Rhinolophus ferrumequinum: one gene and its partner. The main gene of each other region encodes a partner of the protein of the gene in region 2 in a complex. Links are inferred from orthologs where the notes say so. Each region holds a gene or a part of one and is shown on either strand. Other genes may lie near its edges.

Region 1 (9,319 bases), on a different chromosome or scaffold from region 2:
TGGACCTAGAAGGGCTTCCAAGTCCATATGGAACAATGTGCCTATTATCAAAAGAGAGGAACAAAACATATTAGCGTAATTTATAGTCAAAATGATGCATTCTGTAGGGCAAACTCATTCCATTTGGACACAAGGAGCTCACCACGTGGTGTTTGGTAGAGAAATTTAGGGGAATGAAGTATGGCACGTCAGGGTCACATGCCTGTCAAGGGCCCTGAGTGTGTCTACCCAACCAGAAGAAACCAGTTTTTTTTTAACTCAATGAAATTCCATTGAATTCCAACTCTTAACAACGTTTAATTTCTTCTCGACACAAGCTGCATTATTTTTTGTCCAAAATTATGACATCTCTGCTTTGGTATCTGTTTCATATTTTCTTCCTTGTCTAACATTCTATTTAGTTAACAACTATGGGAGGAAAGAAAAGGGGGATTTCAAAACCATTCAAAACCACGATTGACGAGATTTTGAAAACCTATTTTCAATTCAAGCCACATGATAATGCTGTACGTGCCCCTGAGGGGGCAGAAGGAGACATACTACTCCCAAGTTTGAACATCTTGGGCAATCTGGTGGTATGACTATAGAAGGACTCTGTGCCAGGATGCTCCCAGTAATTTCCAATGTGCCCGATTTGATTCTCACCTAAGAAAAAAAGTTCGCCCCTTGGGAGAATCACCTTACTAAGTATTGGGCTCATAGTGGGCTGGGTTTGGTTTGATTTGATTTTGTTCGGATTTTGGTCATCCCTCACCATACTGGGACACTGTAGGCACAATAAACATGTTTTTGTTTGTGATGCTGATGGGGGAGCTAGCTTCCAGGGTGAAGGGGGAGAAAGTGCTTTCCTCACTCTAGACGCAGGAGAGAAATCTACAGGCCATATTTCTATCATGTCTTGAAATGAGCTTTTCTAAGGGGAAAGTCCAGAGGGGTCAGAACATCCAGGTTCTAGGTCTAGCGTAGTCACCAACTCATTGTTGGGCAAGTGACTTCAACATTTTGGGTCTTAGTTTTTCTATAAGTAAAATGAGGGATTGGATTATAAATCTCTATAATTGCTTCTGCCTCGTAAGTCTCTACCATCCCCTGAGAAGTCATATGACCTCGGCACCTCAGTCCCTAAACCCAGACAGATCCCACTGAGAAAACATTCCCCCAACGCCCCACACTTAGCTTCTCCTCAGAAATGGGTGGCAGCCTCCTGCTAGCCAGCAGCTCTTTCCATCTGTCCTGTCATGTGAGATCTGAGCTACCGCTCTCAGAAGACCCTCTCCTGTGTTGCTAAGAAGCAAGTTATCCTGTTCTTTTCAGGAATGGAGGGGCACTGTCCCCACCCAATGAGGCACTTCCATGTTGTCAGAAAGGCTACCTTCAGCATCCAAACCAGGAGCTTCCCCGAAAAGGAGCTAGAGTGACTAAGGTCCATTCTCTGGTGACGCCAGAGCAAACAGATGACTAGAGTGACGATGCCCTCTAGAGACTCACTCGGGAGTGTTGACCCAGATAATGTCCAGATGGCAGAAGTAGACACACTCTTTATCCATCAAGGAAGAGCAGGAGCAGCGCTTGGAGCGGCGGCGGGGCCGCCAGGGTGCACTGGGAGACGGCTTCTCTCCTCCGCTGTCCGCCCCGGTGCTGAGCTCGGCGCCCAAGACGGCTGCGGAGAGAAAGAGCAGGTCAGCGGGGATGTCTCCTCAGAGATGCTGCATCACGTGACTGACGCCCGATCTAGCAGAGCAGGTAAAAGCGGATGAAGCGCACAACCTGCCTTCAGCAAGCCACACAGAGGAAAAGGGCTCTTTACTTGTTTCCCTGCTTAACACGGCTTCACCTCTACCCCTACTGCCTTATCCACCTTCAGAGAGATTATACAAGCGTGGGGGGAACAACCGCTTGGAAAGGGCCTCACCAGCCCCCTGAAGCAGCCTTCCAAGCGGCCGGTTAGAAATCTGGGTTGGCTTCGGCATGGAACTTAGTAAGACAGCAGAACCGTCAGTGGCTTAAAATTGGCCAATGACCACAAATCTAAAATTAAGTAAATCACACTGCATCCTCCTAGGTTGGCAGCCACCTCCCTGTGCAGCATATGCCCTTCCCGTGAGGGGAGCACCCTCTTCACGCCATGTGTAGGGCAGGGAGTAGCCCAGATAATATATACCCGATGAAATTAGGCGGAGGTCAAAAACTTTAGGGAGATCATTGGAGGGAAAGATGAGAAATCAGCTTTACAATATTCATCCCAGGAGGTCAGCTCCACAGAAACCACTGAGCTAAGGTGAAGCTGAGGAGCAGCTCGGGGACCTCGGCAAGGTTCTGTGGGTGTAGAATTCAGAAGCCCCGGCCGGCACAGCCTGGCATCTGTGGGATCACCTCCTCCCCCACCCCGCTGTAGCACAGGCAAGTTAGCCAAGCAGCTTATCTGCCCAATTTTGTACATTTCAAATGATCAGACACATTCCAGGATTTTCATTCCCTTGACATCCTTTCTCTTTAGTCAGGGTCACGAAAAGACAAAAACAGTGCATTGACCCTAGAAGGGGGACCTGGGCAGATGCACATGTCCTATCTAAATCCTTAAGCAGCCAAGATTTACCCCAGCTCCCCTCCCAGGACAGGTGAATAAAACTGTAAATAGAGCTCACACTGTTTTGGGTGCCAAAAATCTGCCAAAAGAAACCTAAAGTCAATAATGACAAATTTTTAAAGAAAACATCTGCTTCACCCTGAAACCGCCTGAGGGGGTTATTCAACAGACTGTTCTGCAGGTGATTTTACTGCTCATATATTGCTTGAATGACTTGAATAAAATTCCTTGGCTTCAAGCTGAAATGTTTAAATATTTTACACATTAACACATTATTAAAACGGTATTTGAATGAGATATACATTCTTATATGTCCTAATACCTGTATGAACACATATATTGCAAATATACATTTGGCTAAATTAATCTTGCCTTTACGTTTCTTGAGTTGCATTGTTAAAAGCCGAGGAAATACTGTATGCACTAACGACAATGTTATTTTAATGCTATAGGAGCCATTGTATTCAATAGAGGAATTTTTTCCCAGTAGAAAACTTAAGTAGCTTTGAGCGATAATTCCCAGACACTTGATATCTGAGCTGCAGTAGTAAAAGGAAGGGAAAAAAACAGAAGCAAGAAAAGCATTAAAGTGGATAAGAAGACATTAACATTCAGATATTTACAAGTCAACGTGCCTACCTGTTTCTGGAGCTCCCTGGAAAGCCACAAACAGCAGAGAGAAAATCATGGGGAAATAATCCATTCTGTAAAAGGGATCAAAATTCCTCCGCTGCAAACTAAACCCGAAGGAAAAAAAAAAAACGAAGAAAAGCAGCTTCAGTTCCCTCAAAGCGCTTCTAGTTACTCTGATCTCAAAGTGATCCTTCAGTCTAAGTGCTCCTTAATGGGGAGAAAAAGAAGTTTCTGCCAGGAGAGAAGGCAGTGGGAGCCGTCTGAAGACGCACGCGGCGGGTGGCTTGCGATGCGGGGACACCAGCGGAGACCCGAGGACCTTCGCAGCACTTGCCCCAGCGCAGATGCAGAAGCGCGTCTGGCTTGGACAGCTCTCCGCCGGCTTTTTATATTGAACCCCTATAGAGTGGGGGTAAACAGCTCCAACTTTATTCCAGCCCCAGACAATGTTATTGTGTTATTAGTCACCAACAGGCAACGTGCAGCCGGAGATAAGGCCAGGCTCTAAAGGAAATCACTGCTAACTTCAGAGGCAGACGCCCGCCGTCTGACAATTCAGGGGCAGGGCTAAGAAAAAGAAAATACCCATTGGAGACCTTTGGTAAACCTGCCCGTGCGGCGCTGGAGTCTGCTTCCCCTTTGCAAGTTGCCAGCCCCAGAGTTCAAGAATCAGAACAGGGACTCCAGAAAAGTCATACCATTGGTATGAAAAGTATGAGCTACAGTTTAAATAGATTGTATTGTGTGCGGGGATTTTTTTTTTTAATTGTTGTTCACTTCATTTTCCTTTTATGTCTCTGATTTCTCAGTGTTGATCAAACAAGAGAATGTTTCCCCTCTTCACTCTCCCCTACTCGGGGTCAAATTATTTTGGCAGATTAACGTGCTTTCCCCTTGTTCCAAGCCCCCTCCCCTAAGTTTTTTTTTTTTTTTGCTGAAGTTTTTTGCTTCCACGGTGAAAAAGATCGGTGAGAGAATGGCAAGGAAATGAAGTTTATTCAAACAGAAAAATTAGAGCCCTTTCAGGCACATACCCAATCCTTTCAGTATTACTGATTAGAACCCCCCTCCCCAAGGATTTTTCTGTGTCCACCCTCTTCCCCTGCCCAGAACGCCCCAGGTTCAACAGCACCAATCTTAAGAAATAGCGGGAGAGGAACGCCAGGGGGCGACCAAGAGCTACAGGGGCTGATGTTTTCTGAGGACAAAACGTAAAGGCCCTGGCTTCCAACCGAAGGAAATGCAACCTGAAGTGGGATCTGACAAAGGGCGAGGAATAGCTCCTAACATAAGATAGGGGGATGTCCCCTACACAGGGACATATTTTCTGGGTTTTATGCTTTGCTTTCTTCGTTTAGGACAAAGGGTGTTCTTGTATAGGGTTAGTTGAATATGCAATGAGGTGTTGGGAAGGAGAAAATGGCCATGCTGAATAAGGGGATCACCTAATACCTCACATTTACTAATGTGTTTACATTTCCAAAGCAATTTCCTGTCTATTTAACCTTGAAATATCCCCTGAGGTACCCACAGGGCAGTTACTGCGGAGGTGACAACTTGCTGTAATGTACAAAGCAAAACATAAATGTAAGACATTGGTATTTTCAGTTAGGCTCATTTTTCAAGAGACAAAACTGAAGCACCAGTTTCCATGCTCCCCCAAATTTCTCACAGTGCTCTGAGTAAGGCCTATGGAATAAGTTTAGAACATCTGCACACAAGAAAAAGATGACTCTGCATCTAGCGTGTAGGGACTCCATCAAACAGGGGCTTCCTCCACATCTTCATCTTGTTTTACCCCAACTTCCTCCCCTGTGGAAGCGGGGAGTGGGGCATATTCAAATGTAGACCCATGTCCAATACTCAAGAGGATGCCATGAACCGTGTCTTCCTCCTTCTCCTCTAGAATCGAAAGGAGAGATTTTTGTCCCAACACCAAAACTGTGGGCCTGAGCACAGTTGGGCCCCCTGGATCTCCCTAGAAGTCACCACAGTTTGGGAGACAGTAACAGTAGCAGTGTCATTTCCATAATGAGATCTGTCTCCTAAAGTGTCCCAGTGCACAAGAGCTAGAGATGGGAGCGAGGCAGGGTCCCGCCCTCCCACACTCTCATCCAGAGAGGCCTCCACCCAACCCGAGGAGCCTCTGCCTGGGCCCTCTGCTCCCTCCCTTTGCTTACCTCGCCCAGCCCTAGGTGCTGGGGAGGGCATAGCTCCCTCTAGAACTGGGTGGCACCAAGCAGGAAGTCAACTCTGGCCCCCTCAGCTCTGGCCAGTGCATCCCAACCTCTTCCCCCCCAGAAAACCACAATAACAGCAGAGGAAGCTGATGTCATATTCACAAGATCCAAGCTTTCCTCAGCAAGGGAAAGGTGGTGAGGGAATTGTGTCTTGCCAGGGCTACCCCAACACACACCTTTGACACCTTTGACAGAACACTGGCCACGGTCAGGACCAACCTGTCCTAAGCTCCTCCCTGGAAACCACCGCCCTTACCCTCCCAGTCTCCCCGGGGCCAGTCTGAACTACCCTCCAGCAAGGAAGCCAGTCTCTGCACAGCCACCCCCACCTTGGTAGGCTGCCCTTGCTGGTGCCAGCAGCACCCAACGATTAGGTAGGGAAGTGAAGCAAAATGAAACTGCCCACACGCCTTCCCACAGCCCTCCCTCCTCTCTTCTGTCTGTCTTCTTGTGAATGTATTTTAATTATAAATACAAGAAGTGGGTGGCAATGATCTGCCCTGCACCTCTCACCTAGGGCCTTCTAGGGCTCTGCTAAAGTTAATGCACAGGGTTTCAGACTTGGGAGGGTCCCATCGTTCCAAGTACAATCTTGGCCCATCCTTTTGAATCCTGAGTTTCTAAGATGCATACCGGCATGTATGTGTGTGTACTTCTACCTCTCTTCCTTTGTGTGTCATGGGAGAATGGTGGTATCTGCCTTCTCCGTCCATCGCTCCATCTTGGCCTCTTGCAGCAGCACTTTTTTCTTACTCTAGAAGGAAGGGGAAGTCCCTTTCAAGCCCAGAGAATTCAGTTATGGCACTGCCAGGCAGCTACCCAGCAAAAAAGTTTTCCAAGGAGCAAGAGGGGGAGGGAGAAAGAACCTTAACAAACCAGTTTTACAAGCTAGATGCCCCCACCTCTCCTCCACTTGAAGCATTGCTAGAGAGGGAGGTAGGAAAGGAGGAGGTTGAAAGAGCTGGACACAGTCGTGAGTGTGGAGACCCCACCTCCGTCCACAGCCCCCCACTCCGCCCCTCCAAAGTTTAGGAGGGGAAAGGCTCTTTGTCGCCACACTCCTCCTCAGAGAGGAAAGGGAAGGGAGAGAAGAGGTGAAGAAGATGGCTTCTCCCCGCCCAACAGAACAGTTTGTTGTTGCTGTTCTTGCTTTTGTTGTAACACTTGAATACTAGAAACCAGTTGATAAACGTATTTTTAATGTGTTTCTTTCTGTATCTTTTGCTGTGTATTAATAGATATCTATAAATAAAACACCCTGAGCCCCAAATACAGATACTACACAGTAGCAAAGTGTACTGTTTTTAGCACTCTTCAGCTTTGCTCTTTCTCAACTTTTGCGTAATAAGGTTTGCAACTTTGCCAAGCCAATAAATCTGGTGTGAGATGTTACATTTAGCTCAGCAAAAAGAACAGCCGTTAGGTTGCTTGACACCAGCACAAAGAATGGGGAACTAGTTTATTGCAGGCACTGGGAAGCTATCCATGCCGGGTTCATTGGTGCACTGCTGACTATTTCACGTTGCTACTTTGCATAGGGCCGTTGTGAAAGATTGTGCACTAAGACATTACTCCATGATACATTACACACCTCCACCAGCCGTGAACCACTGCAGCTTCTTCCCACAGTCCAAAATTTAATGGTTGATTTTGCACAGGAATAGGATAATGCTCAGGAGGGATTCATCCCATGCATTTTAAAAACATATACCGTATGCAACTCCACTTCCTTGACACTTTCATCCATACAACAACAGAGAGCAAGTGTTTCGTTTAAAAGAATATGCCTCAGTTTTTTAATTTAGCATTTCCCAGTCATTCATAAACCTCTTTCACAGCTTTTGCCATATTTGTGGGCCACCCATACATTTTTACTGAATACTTTTCCATCCAACTAACTGATCTAGTTCTTTATTTGAATACTTTTAAGGAACTAACTGACTTAGTTCTTTATTTGAATAATTTTAAGGAAATTTACTGTCATTACTATCCTAAGCAATAATGTACATGAAATCATGCTTTGTATGGTTAAGTAATATACATATTTATTTATATGGTTAAATGATGTACAGAAATCATAGTTTAATACATGTTAAATTAAACATAATCATTGTGTATTTATTAAGCTATTATTGGAAATAAAAACTATTCAACCATGTACCTTATAAACACAAGCATGCTTACCACTCTCAGGGAACACAGTTCTTTCCACTGCAATGTCTTATACTTATTATGTTAAGAATTAAGCTCTGGTTTAATTCTACTCTCTGACTTCTACTTTCTAAGATAAACTCAAAATATTCCACATCAAACTCTCGCAAGGATGCATGCACTTCAAAGAAACGTGAGTTCCAGGATCTGAAAACACAAAGAGTTTATATAACCCAAAAGTTCCTAGTTGGTACTTCCCCGTGGCTCTCCCTTCAATATTTTGGCTGTTGTCCTTTATGATATTTTCAACCCTCTATCCTGAATTTAAATGTCCTTTTAAGTGTTTTTACTGATATACACACACACACACACATATCTGAACCTGTAGATTGGGATAGGAGAGTGATTGTAATATGTCACACCTCAGAGAGAGACTAGAAAAATGTGATGGCAATGGATGCCTCCCCCTATTTTTATTTTTAATTTTAATTCCGTGTCATTTATGACATGTGGAGCTAAAGGGATTCTAACGCCAGGGTAGAACAGCACGTGAGGGTGAGTGGACTACGGTCAAGTCATTTCATTAAACCTGATTTACGTAAACGTTCTAGACACGTGTTTGAAAATAAACTCATTCTGGAGGGCAGGTGCCTTACAAATACGATACCTGCCTTCACGTTTTCTTAAGCAAGTTGCATGTGTGTGGCAATCCGTAGGCTGACTCTGGTTTTAAGTCGACTGCAATCAAAATCCTTTTCATGACTCCATTTAATTCTGATTGTGAATTTCTTTTCTGTTTTTCAGAGTTTCTTGTAGAATGGTGGTTACCAAGGGTTGAGGGTTGGGAGTGAGGGAAATGAGGAGATGCTGGTTAAAATTCCAGTTAGAAGATGAATAAATTCTGGGGATCTTACACACAGCATTGTCAAGAGTACTGTGTTATATACTTGAAAGTTGCTAGGAGTGCATCTTAAATGTTCTCACACAAAAAAGAAATGGTAATTATGTGATATGATAGAGATTTAGCTAATGTTGCAGTTTGTAAATGTATGTTGCAATATGTAAACGTATCAAATCGATACGTTGAACACGTATCAAATCGATACGTTAAACTTACACAATGTCATCTGTCAATTATATCTCAATAGAGTTGAAAACAAAAGTTTCTTTCCCACCTCATATATAACGGCAAAAAAATAATCCAAAAGTCTTAGCTCTTTCCTAACTTCTGTGTAATAAAAGGCCTTTGGTTTCCTGCTGAATTTTTATAAGATACCCTAGGAAAGAAGCAAGAAAATTATTCATTTGCAATTCGCTTTCACATTAGAAATCTGAAACCAGAAAGCTTCTATTATTCAATTTCTCTAATTTCATGTGCATATATGTGTATTGAGCCCCCACTGGGTATAAAAGTAATTTTAGGTACTTTCTGTGTTCCGTTGTCAAAGTAAGGTGGACTTATAGTCACAAGTCAATAGACTGACATGGAATTAATAAAAGCCACACGGGAAAAGCAACACAGGGTGAGGCGGGAGGAAAATCATTAAAGTGGGAAACTCTTAGGTACCTACAAAGAAGCAAGGGCTATGATGATATGAGGTACTAATTGATTCAAAAAATCATCTTGCAATGAAAGAGGGTGAATGGAGTTTTAAAGGATGGCAGGAAATGTCTTCAAAGATGAGAGGAATTAAGAGCTGTGCCAAAG
Region 2 (10,361 bases):
ATTTGTAGTCATGTTAATAATGGCAAAAAGCTGGAAAAAAAACCAACCCTGAACAAATTTCCATTCTTATTCACACACACAGACACAAATTAATTTGCCTACTATGTGCCAAGCACTGTGCCAAATGATATTCACCTATCTACTTATGTATCATGTATACATTCTTACAACATTTAATATATTTATATATATGCATTACATACGTATATACATAATATACATACACACACACACATATATATATATACAGTGGGTGCTAAAAAATGTATACACATTTAAAGAAAGGAGAAAACTATTAAAATTGTAATACTGAATATATACCGATAACAAAAGATGAATACGTCATGTTTGACTTCTGCAATTACAAGAGGTGCTCAAAGTGGTTACCATCAGGGTCCAGACACTTCTGATTACGGTGAACTACTGCTTGAGTCATGTTGACCAAAGTGTCTACTTGTATACATTTTTTTGGCACCCCGGTATATACTATATATTTTTAAACATCCTCTTCGGATGATTGTATTTTTCATTTTTATCTGGATGGTCCTACGCAATACAGTGTGTAAGAGCCCTAGTATGTGTTGCTGAGAAGGCTAAACAAGTTTTTATTTTCAGCATGCTTACATGAATATTTGAAGCACTCTAACAGCTTCAATTTGCTGAATGTCCTGTGATACTTCTTTGGTCTTCTACATTGGATTCCCTTCCTGACACAGGAGACCTGGTGAGAGGATTGACTCTATCTAGAAGTTTCCAGAGATTCAGTTCCTTGAGGGTGTCTGGCAGAGCAGACATATTTCCTAAGGTTTGTCAGCCCCTTACAGCAGCACCTTCCTTTGATATCCTGTCTTATTCTATAGTGGTATCAAAGACTATGGCTTCCAGCAAGATTCTATGACATTTTGCGGTTTGTCAATTTTATTAAACTCCACATTTACTGAACTCCAAATTAATGTAATAAATTTACATTGATGTCTCTCGGCCCTTGGGTGTGCCAACAGATGGGTTGGAGGATTCTATGAACCCCCAGAAATTGTAAATGTATATACACACGCACACACACGCACATACACACACACGAGTGTGTGTATTATATATTAATTATAGTTACATAAATTATATATAATGTACTAATTATATACAATACAAATAATTAACTTGATTCTCAAAGAGAATTGTAACATCCCACAAAAAGAAAATTAGAAATCACTGGTTTAGAGATTCAAGTCTTCCACTTTAGGATAAATTTAAATGGCATTCATAATTCACTTAAATTACTTTCTGTGAAGTATAATACCTGATTACTCTGAAATGATAAGTGCATTTTTAGAAACTTACTTATATGGTGTCATAATTATTTAGGGGAATAAATAGCTTTTATCTAGTCCTAGATTAGGTGTTTTGGAAAATAAAGCCTTTAGAATAACAAACAACGCTGTGATCAATACTATCAATACTACGCACTACCACCATCTGAAGGGGATTTCAGCAGATAGAAAGATGACTTCAGATGACTGAAATTAAAACCGAAAACACTTACCAAGTATCCTACCGTGTGACAGTGTATCACTTAATGCCACCAACACACTCCAATGGGGCCCTAACAATACTCCAGGTTGGAGAAAGGTGTGCTGTGCCTGAGCTTGCTCAGTGCAGGGGGAAGGGGAGGATCACAGGTTCTAGGCCCAGATGGCCTGGGTTCCAACCTAGTTTCATTACTTTCTAGGGTGTGACGTTGGGCAAGTTACTTCTTCACCTCTCCAAGATGCAGTTTCCCCATATAAGGGGGGGTGATAACAATACCTCCTCCATAAGGTTTGTGGCAGGGCTTTAATAAATAAATCAAGTACCATAATAAATAGTCGCCATTACTGTTACATTATGCCTCAAGTGACACCTATTTACGCATATTATAAAAATCAACCAAAGGCTACCATGTAGGGTCCCATGATGGTCAACCTAGAGATGGGACCTAATTCTTTGTGATGGATTTTTAATGACCAATATACAAGACTAGATGTCCTGATTTGTAATGACGCATTAGTTTGTTTATGTCAGAAGTAAAAACACAGTTTTAACAGACTAAATGGCTTCAGGCAAAGGATGTAACTTCCTAGGAAATCATAAAGAAATTTGAAATGAAAATAAAAACTGTATTCCCCCTTGGGAGTCAAATATTTTGACTAAATGAGTGTAATAATTTGACCCGATCGAGAAAGTCGAATGGCCCTGGAAGGGCTGATTTACATCTTGCCTGAATCAATATACCAAAGGAAAAATGTTCTCAGCTCCACCTTCCATACCTTCTCAGCTCCTTCAGGTGCTGGCTGACTTAGGAAGGTCTCTACCTGGGCTGGAAGTGTGGGGCTTCCTGGGACCTCCCTAAACAGACCTTTCACAAAATTCTGTTCAAGCCTAGCAAAACTAGATGTAACTTCCCTTTTGAGAGGGATAGTATTTCACTTCTTTTAAAATTTCTCACAAAACCTTGTACTCTAAAGGTTCTCAAGTCAGTTTTGATGAATTGAATTGAAATTCCTCTACGAAATTGAGGGGGTAAAACTTGATCTATGTGACTCCTTGAAAAGTAAACGGGTCACATCTGGCCAAAATGGAACTGTGACTGCGTTTAAGGGACCCATTTCAGTCTGTGCTTCTCTCAGTAACCCTCAGAGTTCATAAGAACGAGTTGTTATGCAGGATTTTAGAATTTCTTTTATTTATCCTTCATTTATGGGAGTATTTCCTTTTAGGGCCTGAATCCTAATTCAAATCCTATCTTCTCCTAACCTCAGAAATATCTAGATTTCCCTTAAAATATTGCTATCTGGGTTAGATTCATGAAGGGTAATGTAAAGCATTCCTTATAACTTCTCCTGCCACAGAGATTTAAATATACACTAAAAGCCTTTCCCAACCCTACAACCACCCCCTTTTTTTTTTCCTGTACCAAATCCAGGACTAGCTTTAAGAAAATCTGTGAAACACGTTCCCGTTCCCTTACACTTTGGTTCTGTTTTATAGGTAATTTTTTATTGTTGCTCATGATGGGGAAGCAGAGTTTTACACATTTGCAACAGTCCTTTAACAGCTTCCAGTTCTTTCACTATTTTTCTTAACACCACAAAACCCTAGTAAGTGGACACTAGCAGCCTTAGCAGAGCTGAGGAAACTGAAGCCCAGAGACGTTGGGATGTGTCCAGAGTTCCAAAGCAACCTGGAGTCACATAACATGGGAGTTTATGTCCTGCTCTTGCTGTCCACACCTGTTCCCTCTGATGCCAGTTGTGATCACACAATAATGTTAGCTACTAAAACCATTCTTTATAGATTTTAAGTTTTATTCTCTTGGTCTTGTCCATGAAGTAATCTACGCGGTGCAGCCAGCACTTTGGAACCTGGCAGATTAGCCTGATTCCCACCTCCATCTCTTACTCATTGTGAAACCGTGAACATCCTAACACAAAGTGACATTTACTCGTTGTGAGAAGGAGTAAAGGAGAGTGACACATCTATCCCAGTGCTTGGCTCATTGTGGGCATCCAATAAAAAGTAAAAACAGTGTAGTCATTCGCAGCAGGGGAACTGTCTGGGTCTCTTTCTCCTAGACCATTTCCTAAAAATGGATTCCAGCCCCTCTACTTTCAGGGTCCTCAAGAAAACTCTTCCCAAGGTTAGGGTGCGTACAAATCACCTCGGTATCTTAAGATGCAGGTTTGATTTAGCAAGTCTGGGGTGGACTTGGAGTTCTAACAGGCTCTCAAGACTGCCAGTCCTTGGACCAAACCTTAGAGGAGAGAGAATGTACTCAGTGAGCTGGACACTTAGGAACAAGATCCTTCAGGATTAGTGATTCTCAAACTTTACAGTTCATCATAATCACATGAAGGGCTTTTAAAATGGGGAAAAAAAAAAAGTGCCCCACCCAGATTAGGTCTGAGGCCACACAGTGTCATTTCTAACACATTCCCTGGTGATGTTGATGCACCGGCCTGGAGACGATACTTGTTGCAGGCTTACTTAGCAGTGGGTACTGAAGACCAGAAGGGAACGTGGTTCCGATGGGTACTGGCCTTCAGGAGGGGATGGATCTCCTGGGGCGAAGTCCCTCCGAAGGCTCCCCCTCGCCCTCTCTAACCTGTGGGCCCCCATCCTGATATTAGCGGCCGCCCTTTACCTTGTACACATGGACGGGGATGTCCAGGAGGATGTGCAGCAGGTCTCCGAGGGCCAGGCTGGCGATCAAGATGTTAGGGCCGTTTCGCATGCTCTTGTTCTTGCAAATGATCTTCAGCAGGGTGGCGTTTCCGATGACCCCCACCACGAACACTAGGCAGGACACCACCGTGTTGATATACTTGAAAGACTGTCTGATCTCGATGTATCCATGGCACGGGGGAGGGATACGTGCAGGGGTTCCCCCCGGCTTCCCTGTTTCAGGCATCTGCGGCGGTGCGGACGACCCCGTCACGCTGGCGTTGGACCCCCTCAGCCAGGAGGCCTTAGTGGGGGGCGTCATTATCTCTCTGGTCCCCAAAAGGAGCGGAGTGGCCCCAGTCGGCGGGAATCCCGTCTCTTCTCCCTGGACATCCGCCACGCTGCAGGCAAGGATCAGCGCCACCAGGGCGCGTCCGCACAGGCTTGGCAGCAGCCGCATGCTGCTGCCTGCTCCAGTGAGCGTTGGCTGGCCGCTCCGCTGCTTTCAGAGTCTGAAAAACCAGCAGGGGAAGGAAGACAGGACACTGGGGTCAGCTATCCCAGTCACGCCCCTGCAAGCCGCTAACGCCGAGTGCAGAGGCGCCGTTTCTCTGCGCGCAAAAGTAACTCTAGTTTGGGCGCCAGTGGGAAACTGGCGTGTGCGACCTGCCTGCGCCCGTCGACTGTCCTTCCTGAACCAGATTTCCCAGTGGTTTTTCTCCCCTGCGTCCTCCTCCCGCCCTCCCCCCCCACCCCTGATGGTAAATAACTCGCAGTGGGGCGGGGCGCTCTGGAAGGAGTGCTGTGGGGGGGGTGGAGAAAGGGTGGGTATCCAAGGCAAAACTCTCGGGCTTCTTGACGTGCCCTGAGTAAGCATGTACATTCTGGCTAAGGACGCGTGGGGACTGGGGAAATCAAGGCATCCGGAGGCCAAGGGCATGAGCCCATTTCTGCATTTGGCTCCGCGGGGAACTCCGATACCGCGTCTCTGAACGCCAAGACTCCTGGTGGGTGAAAGCCGCTGCTCTCCGGCTGCCTGCGCTCAGGTGCCTAGGCGCCAGCAGGAGTGCGCCGGCTGGCTCGGAAAATCTGGCTTCTTAACTCCGTTCGACTTCGGAAGACTATCAGCATTAATTCCGAAGCTTCTGTCCCTTCCAAACGCCCTCCTTTACTGCAACTTCAACTCGCTGTGTTTGTAATATATGTATATTATATACTATTATTTTGGGGGAATACATATAATTTGGGATATCTATATCTATAGATATAGATATCCCAAACTAGTAATCCAAGCTTAAACCCCAGGACAAGGTTCAATCACTGATTTTAATTCAACGCTAAGCCAGAATGTTTACCTCGCGAATGGGACGCACCAGGCGCGGAGCGACCAGCGAGGACTTCCTTCTCGGGAAGTGCTGGGCTCGCACAGCTCGGTCTGTCCAGCGCCGGGAGCAGAGCGCACCTCCCTTCAGCTGCAGGCGGGTCTGGCTCTGACGAAACGCGGAGGGAATGCCAGACCGTGTAGCCCCTGCAGCTTACTCCCAGTCTCTGCTGTTCCTAGATAAGTACTTATATTCATTCGTCCCTTCCCTATCAATCACCGCCAGACTCCTCCCGCGCCTTCCGACTGCGCGGAAACCTTTCCTTCCTGGGAGACGCCTGGACGGCATCAGCAGGAGCTGCCCGCTGGAGAGGAGAGTCACTTCTCAGCCAGATATGAGGGAGGCACTTCGTCACAGATCTGAATTATTAACACGAGGACAAGTTTCTACGCACTCGGTGACGCATTTGGGTTCTCTATTAAACGTGTTAACATGGACTTTTCATGTCTGTGACTTTTCTTTCCATTAAATATCCCGCTTGATATCTAAGACCTGGTTGGTTTGGGGGGCGCTGCTCTTCGCTCTGTTTTTATTTTGTTCTTCAATTTCCAGTCCACATCCATCCCAAAACGGAAGAGCCTAACCCTTTCTTCTGAAGCCCCCTCACTGCCCTAGGAGAGGACTACAGTCCTTCCCTCACCATCTCTAGCAGCTGCTGTACTCTTTCCGTGCTATGGCCTGAAGTGTTATTGTCAGGCCACCTCAGGGATTTTTATCCTGTTGAGAGACCTGATACCTACAGGGGACAGGAAAATAATCAGAAAGCTGCCGTACAAATTCAGGATGATGTTTATCAGGCAGAGCCATAAAATAACTTTTTCCTATCCACCCTTTAACTCAATTTTTATGGGAGAGAGAGAAACAATAGGCTGACAGTTTTTCCCAACGATTTTATAAAACAGAAGTCAGAAATTCAACCTGTGCGATGCACGTTGACTGCTGTCTTACAGTCAACTTGTTGGGTCTGTGAAATTTCTGACCCAAAAAGAACCATTTCATGTAGCAACTCAACTCATGTAGAGACTAGGTGGCTCACTCCTGGCTTCACAGCTCGTTCATGGCACAGATGGGACACAAACTTGAATTTTTGACTCCTATGCTTTTTGGGAAAGTGGAAGTGGAAAATCAATTTGTATTTTTAAAAGGTGAATTTTAAGTGTGAAATATTGTCTAAAGAACAATGTTAAGGAGTAAGGCGAAAGGAATGTGAAATATGGCCTAGGGTTGTGAGTGCTAATTCCAAATCTGGCTATTTTGAGCGTAGCACTTATCCTCCCTGTCTGGGTAAGAACAAGGTCAACATTCAGTTGCTTCAAAGCCGATCTAAGTAACAATATACAGTGTTATGTGAATGAGGAATGATATGGGTGCTCCATACATTCATTTGGAGTATGAATATTTTGCTCAGTTTTGGACGTGACTTCATATACAAGCCTTCTTCCCACCATACATAGAAACCCTACAGATAGGGCCACTTTCTCTCCCATTCACTCTTCCATCTTCATCACCACTTGCATTCATCTTTCTTCCACTCAGTCCTAGATGTCTATTCTAAGCTTCACTGAGATCTACCTCTTCCTTTTTCTCATAGCACTGTAACACCGTTAAACATCTTTGAGCACTTGATCACATAGAGACTTTTATGGGTTTCTATTGATTTCATGTGAATTTCTTTTTCACGATAGGTACAATCCTGAAAAACTGAGTGTTGTTTTGGTACCATCACAATACGGGCCACAAGTTAAGCTCAAAGAAATATTTTTTATAGATCTGATAATTATATTTTAAGTTATTTAATTATATTTTAGTAACTCTAGCTGTAGGGCTCAAGAGCAAAACCAAATAATTTTAAGGTAAATATACACATTCCTCATCTGGAATTTAAAATACAATTATTGGCTACCTATTATAGGGCCTACTATCTATATTAGGCACCTCATTACAGGGTCTCATATACTCCCTCACAGCAGTCTTTGAGTTAGAAATTGTTTTTCATGGTTTTACAGGTAGTGGAATATAGTATCAAAAATTCACTCAAGGTCACATGGCTAGTTAGTTGTGGGACTATGATTTGGAGCCAGGATTTGAATCCAAGACTATCTGGTTACACAGACTGTACTCTTGATTAATTTAAATACATAGAGTCTGAACAGAGTTTTTTCTTATTTTGAGAGAGCAGTGTTTTAGACATCGGTAATATTTATTTGAAGTTTCATCTTAAATTGACTGAAAATGTAAAGGTAACCATGTGAAAGATTTATTATTTGATCCTCATGAATGACCTTAATCAAGCCACAAGAAATTCAGTCTTAGGTTCCCCATTTGTAAAATGGAGGGAAATGATTAGATGATCTCTAAAGTTACTTCTTGCTCTAACACAGCAGTCTGACAGACAACCTAACTGACCCTGAAGAGCAGAAAAGTGAGAACATGATTCTTCTTTTTTGCTTTCTCTATTCATGTCCTGTACAATACTACCACAGATACAAGGTTGCTTTTTGTTTTGCTTTTTTTTCACCTTATGACTTGTAAAGTTCCTTATTGATAAATTTATTTATAAATTCACCAGTAGTTAACATCTTGTGTAAATTTCATTTGTAAATAGGAGCAAAAACTTGTATCACATGTGAATGCTCCTTCACTGAAAACTTTTGAGTTTGAATTAATTTTGTAGTTAGCATTTATAAAGAATTTTTTTTTTACTTAGTACATGTGGAATCTTTTACAAAATTACTTTCATTAAGGCACTTTTTGAAGTTTCCTAGGAAGTGTATCAAAATCTCAGATTGGCTAAAATCACCCATCAAAGACAGAAAGGGTGGTGAAGGACAATGTCCCACTATCCATTTAAAATGCTTTAACTAGAAGGTGGTCCTGAAGACATGGTTGAATGGTTGAATGCACTTCAGAATTCATTCCTCAAAGAGCTTTGCCATGGGGAACTCGCCCAAAGCAAACTTTTTTCCCTGGTAAGAGAACAAAGAAAAGCCCCTTTAACCACAAAAAAGCTAATACTTTTATGTAGTCCCCTTGATATGAATGTACCCTTCAAAAATCTACCTTGCATTCTCTAAATCATGAATGCTGAGGGACAAGGTATGTGAAAAACACAGAAAGAGTTGGTTCAATTGCTTCTCCACACATTCCCCTAGGAACGGATCCAATGATCAAATAGTGGTTGAAGAAAAGAAGATTTAAAATGACTGCACAAATCAATAGAAAACAGCCTGAGCATTTCTATTTCTTGGATTTTTCTCTTATTTGACTGTAGCTCTTTGTAACCTACAATTAAGGATGTTTTAAAATTCTTTTTACATTAAGGTATGATTTATATATAGGTAAATGGACAGGGCATAAGTACACAATTTTAAGAAATCTGACAAATGTGTACATCCCTGTGATGCATACTTAATGAGGCTTTTATGAAAATGCATTTATCCTTCTAAAGTATAACAGCAAAAATCGACTATTTTGAATTTGGACACTATTCCTATTAAAAGTTTAATTATGACATTATTTCTGCTTTGACAACTTTTTGTACTTATTATCAACTTCTGCAACTGAAACATGATTCATAAATCAGAGGAGTGATTATAAATGAGAGAATCTAGGATCTGAAACTTCACTGATGGTTGTGTGATAGTGCCTCGTTCTAGCCCATGCCCCTAAAGTCATGAAAATTTGATAGACTTATAGTAACTAGAAATAAGGCATAATTCATTCTTTTTTTGCTTACTGAATATTATGAGAAACAGGAAGATCACACTTCCTTTTTTCCTGTCTGAGAAAAGCAGTATAGTTCAGCTACTTCTACTAGTAGGCTACGGTCTACTTTAATTAAAGGATTTAATTAAAAGGTTTGCTCTCCTGGTTATGGCTTAAGTAATTTTTATATTTGTTTCTCTGATGTATTTTTTTCTTTTTACACCAGCATCAGTGGGAAAAAAAAAAGAATGTAACCCAGTCTACAAACTCTTTAAAAGAATTCACAAGAACTCTTTGGCACAACTTTAAAAATGTATTAGAAATTTTTCAGGCTAAACAGGCAGTCCAACCTGTGCTTTCATGGTCTGTCAGTGCATGCTTGACATTTATGTAAATTATTCTTAGCCTTTCAATCATGGACAAAATACTACCACAGATACAAGGTTGCTTTTTGTTTTGCTTTGTTTTTTTCAACTTATGACATGTAAAATATCTTACTGATAAATTTATTTGTACATTCACCAGTAGTTAACATCTTGTATAAATTTCATTTGTAAATAGGAGCAAAAACTTGTATCACATTTGAATTCTACTATATGCAAGGCACTCATTTGGGGGGCTGTTATTTCATATGGTTTATAATTTATGATGAGTTTATGGATCTCTAACTATATTCTTTAATTTTCACCTTTCCTTATTTTCATTCTTTGGATATCCTAATGGTATGTCCAGAGGGATGTAAAATAGTCAAAGGAAATTAGAAAGAGAAGCTTCAAAGTTTAACAATTTATTGTTGAATAAAGGCGAGTTGTTATTTCTTTCAAAAAAGGAAAAGTTCTTTGCATTACAAAATAGAGTACTTTAAAACACTGTGCTTGCCTCCTCTCATGACCACATCAAAAATCACAACTAAACTACAGAACAACCATACTGAGAATCCCTTGAAGTCTAACTGAACTGAAACCCTACAACTACAGACATACATTAAAAGCCACCTTGGGACTGGTAGGTGGGGCAGAGACCAGAATGGGCTGATGCAACACTCACGTGGGACCATTAAAAATTGGGAGGGATATC

The links. Proteins that work in one complex are often made in the same cells at the same time.
Region 1: the proteins of EDNRB (region 2) and EDN1 are in contact, whole or in part, in a cryo-EM structure (PDB 8XWP), measured with the Homo sapiens proteins. The link is inferred for Rhinolophus ferrumequinum from reciprocal best matches to the Homo sapiens genes EDNRB and EDN1. Residues at the interface, in NP_000106.1 of Homo sapiens: Pro88, Pro89, Ile94, Glu95, Ile157, Asn158, Lys161, Glu165, Asp166, Trp167, Val177, Pro178, Gln181, Lys182, Val185, Phe240, Ile243, Met245, Tyr247, Leu252, Ile254, Leu256, Leu257, His258, Pro259, Lys270, Lys273, Leu277, Trp336, Leu339; in NP_001403492.1 of Homo sapiens: Cys53, Ser54, Cys55, Ser56, Ser57, Leu58, Glu62, Cys63, Val64, Tyr65, Phe66, Cys67, His68, Leu69, Asp70, Ile71, Ile72, Trp73.

The regions. Positions count from the first base shown.
Region 1 is NC_046292.1:81,922,544-81,931,862, forward strand, and holds the start of EDN1 (endothelin-1), read right to left. Parts: upstream 3,755-9,319; 5' UTR 3,291-3,754; coding exon 3,227-3,290; intron 1,661-3,226; coding exon 1,489-1,660; intron 42-1,488; coding exon 1-41. UniProt on the Homo sapiens protein: Endothelins are endothelium-derived vasoconstrictor peptides. Probable ligand for G-protein coupled receptors EDNRA and EDNRB which activates PTK2B, BCAR1, BCAR3 and, GTPases RAP1 and RHOA cascade in glomerular mesangial cells.
Region 2 is NC_046287.1:28,618,263-28,628,623, forward strand, and holds the start of EDNRB (endothelin receptor type B), read right to left. Parts: upstream 4,703-10,361; 5' UTR 4,658-4,702; coding exon 4,178-4,657; intron 1-4,177. UniProt on the Homo sapiens protein: Non-specific receptor for endothelin 1, 2, and 3. Mediates its action by association with G proteins that activate a phosphatidylinositol-calcium second messenger system.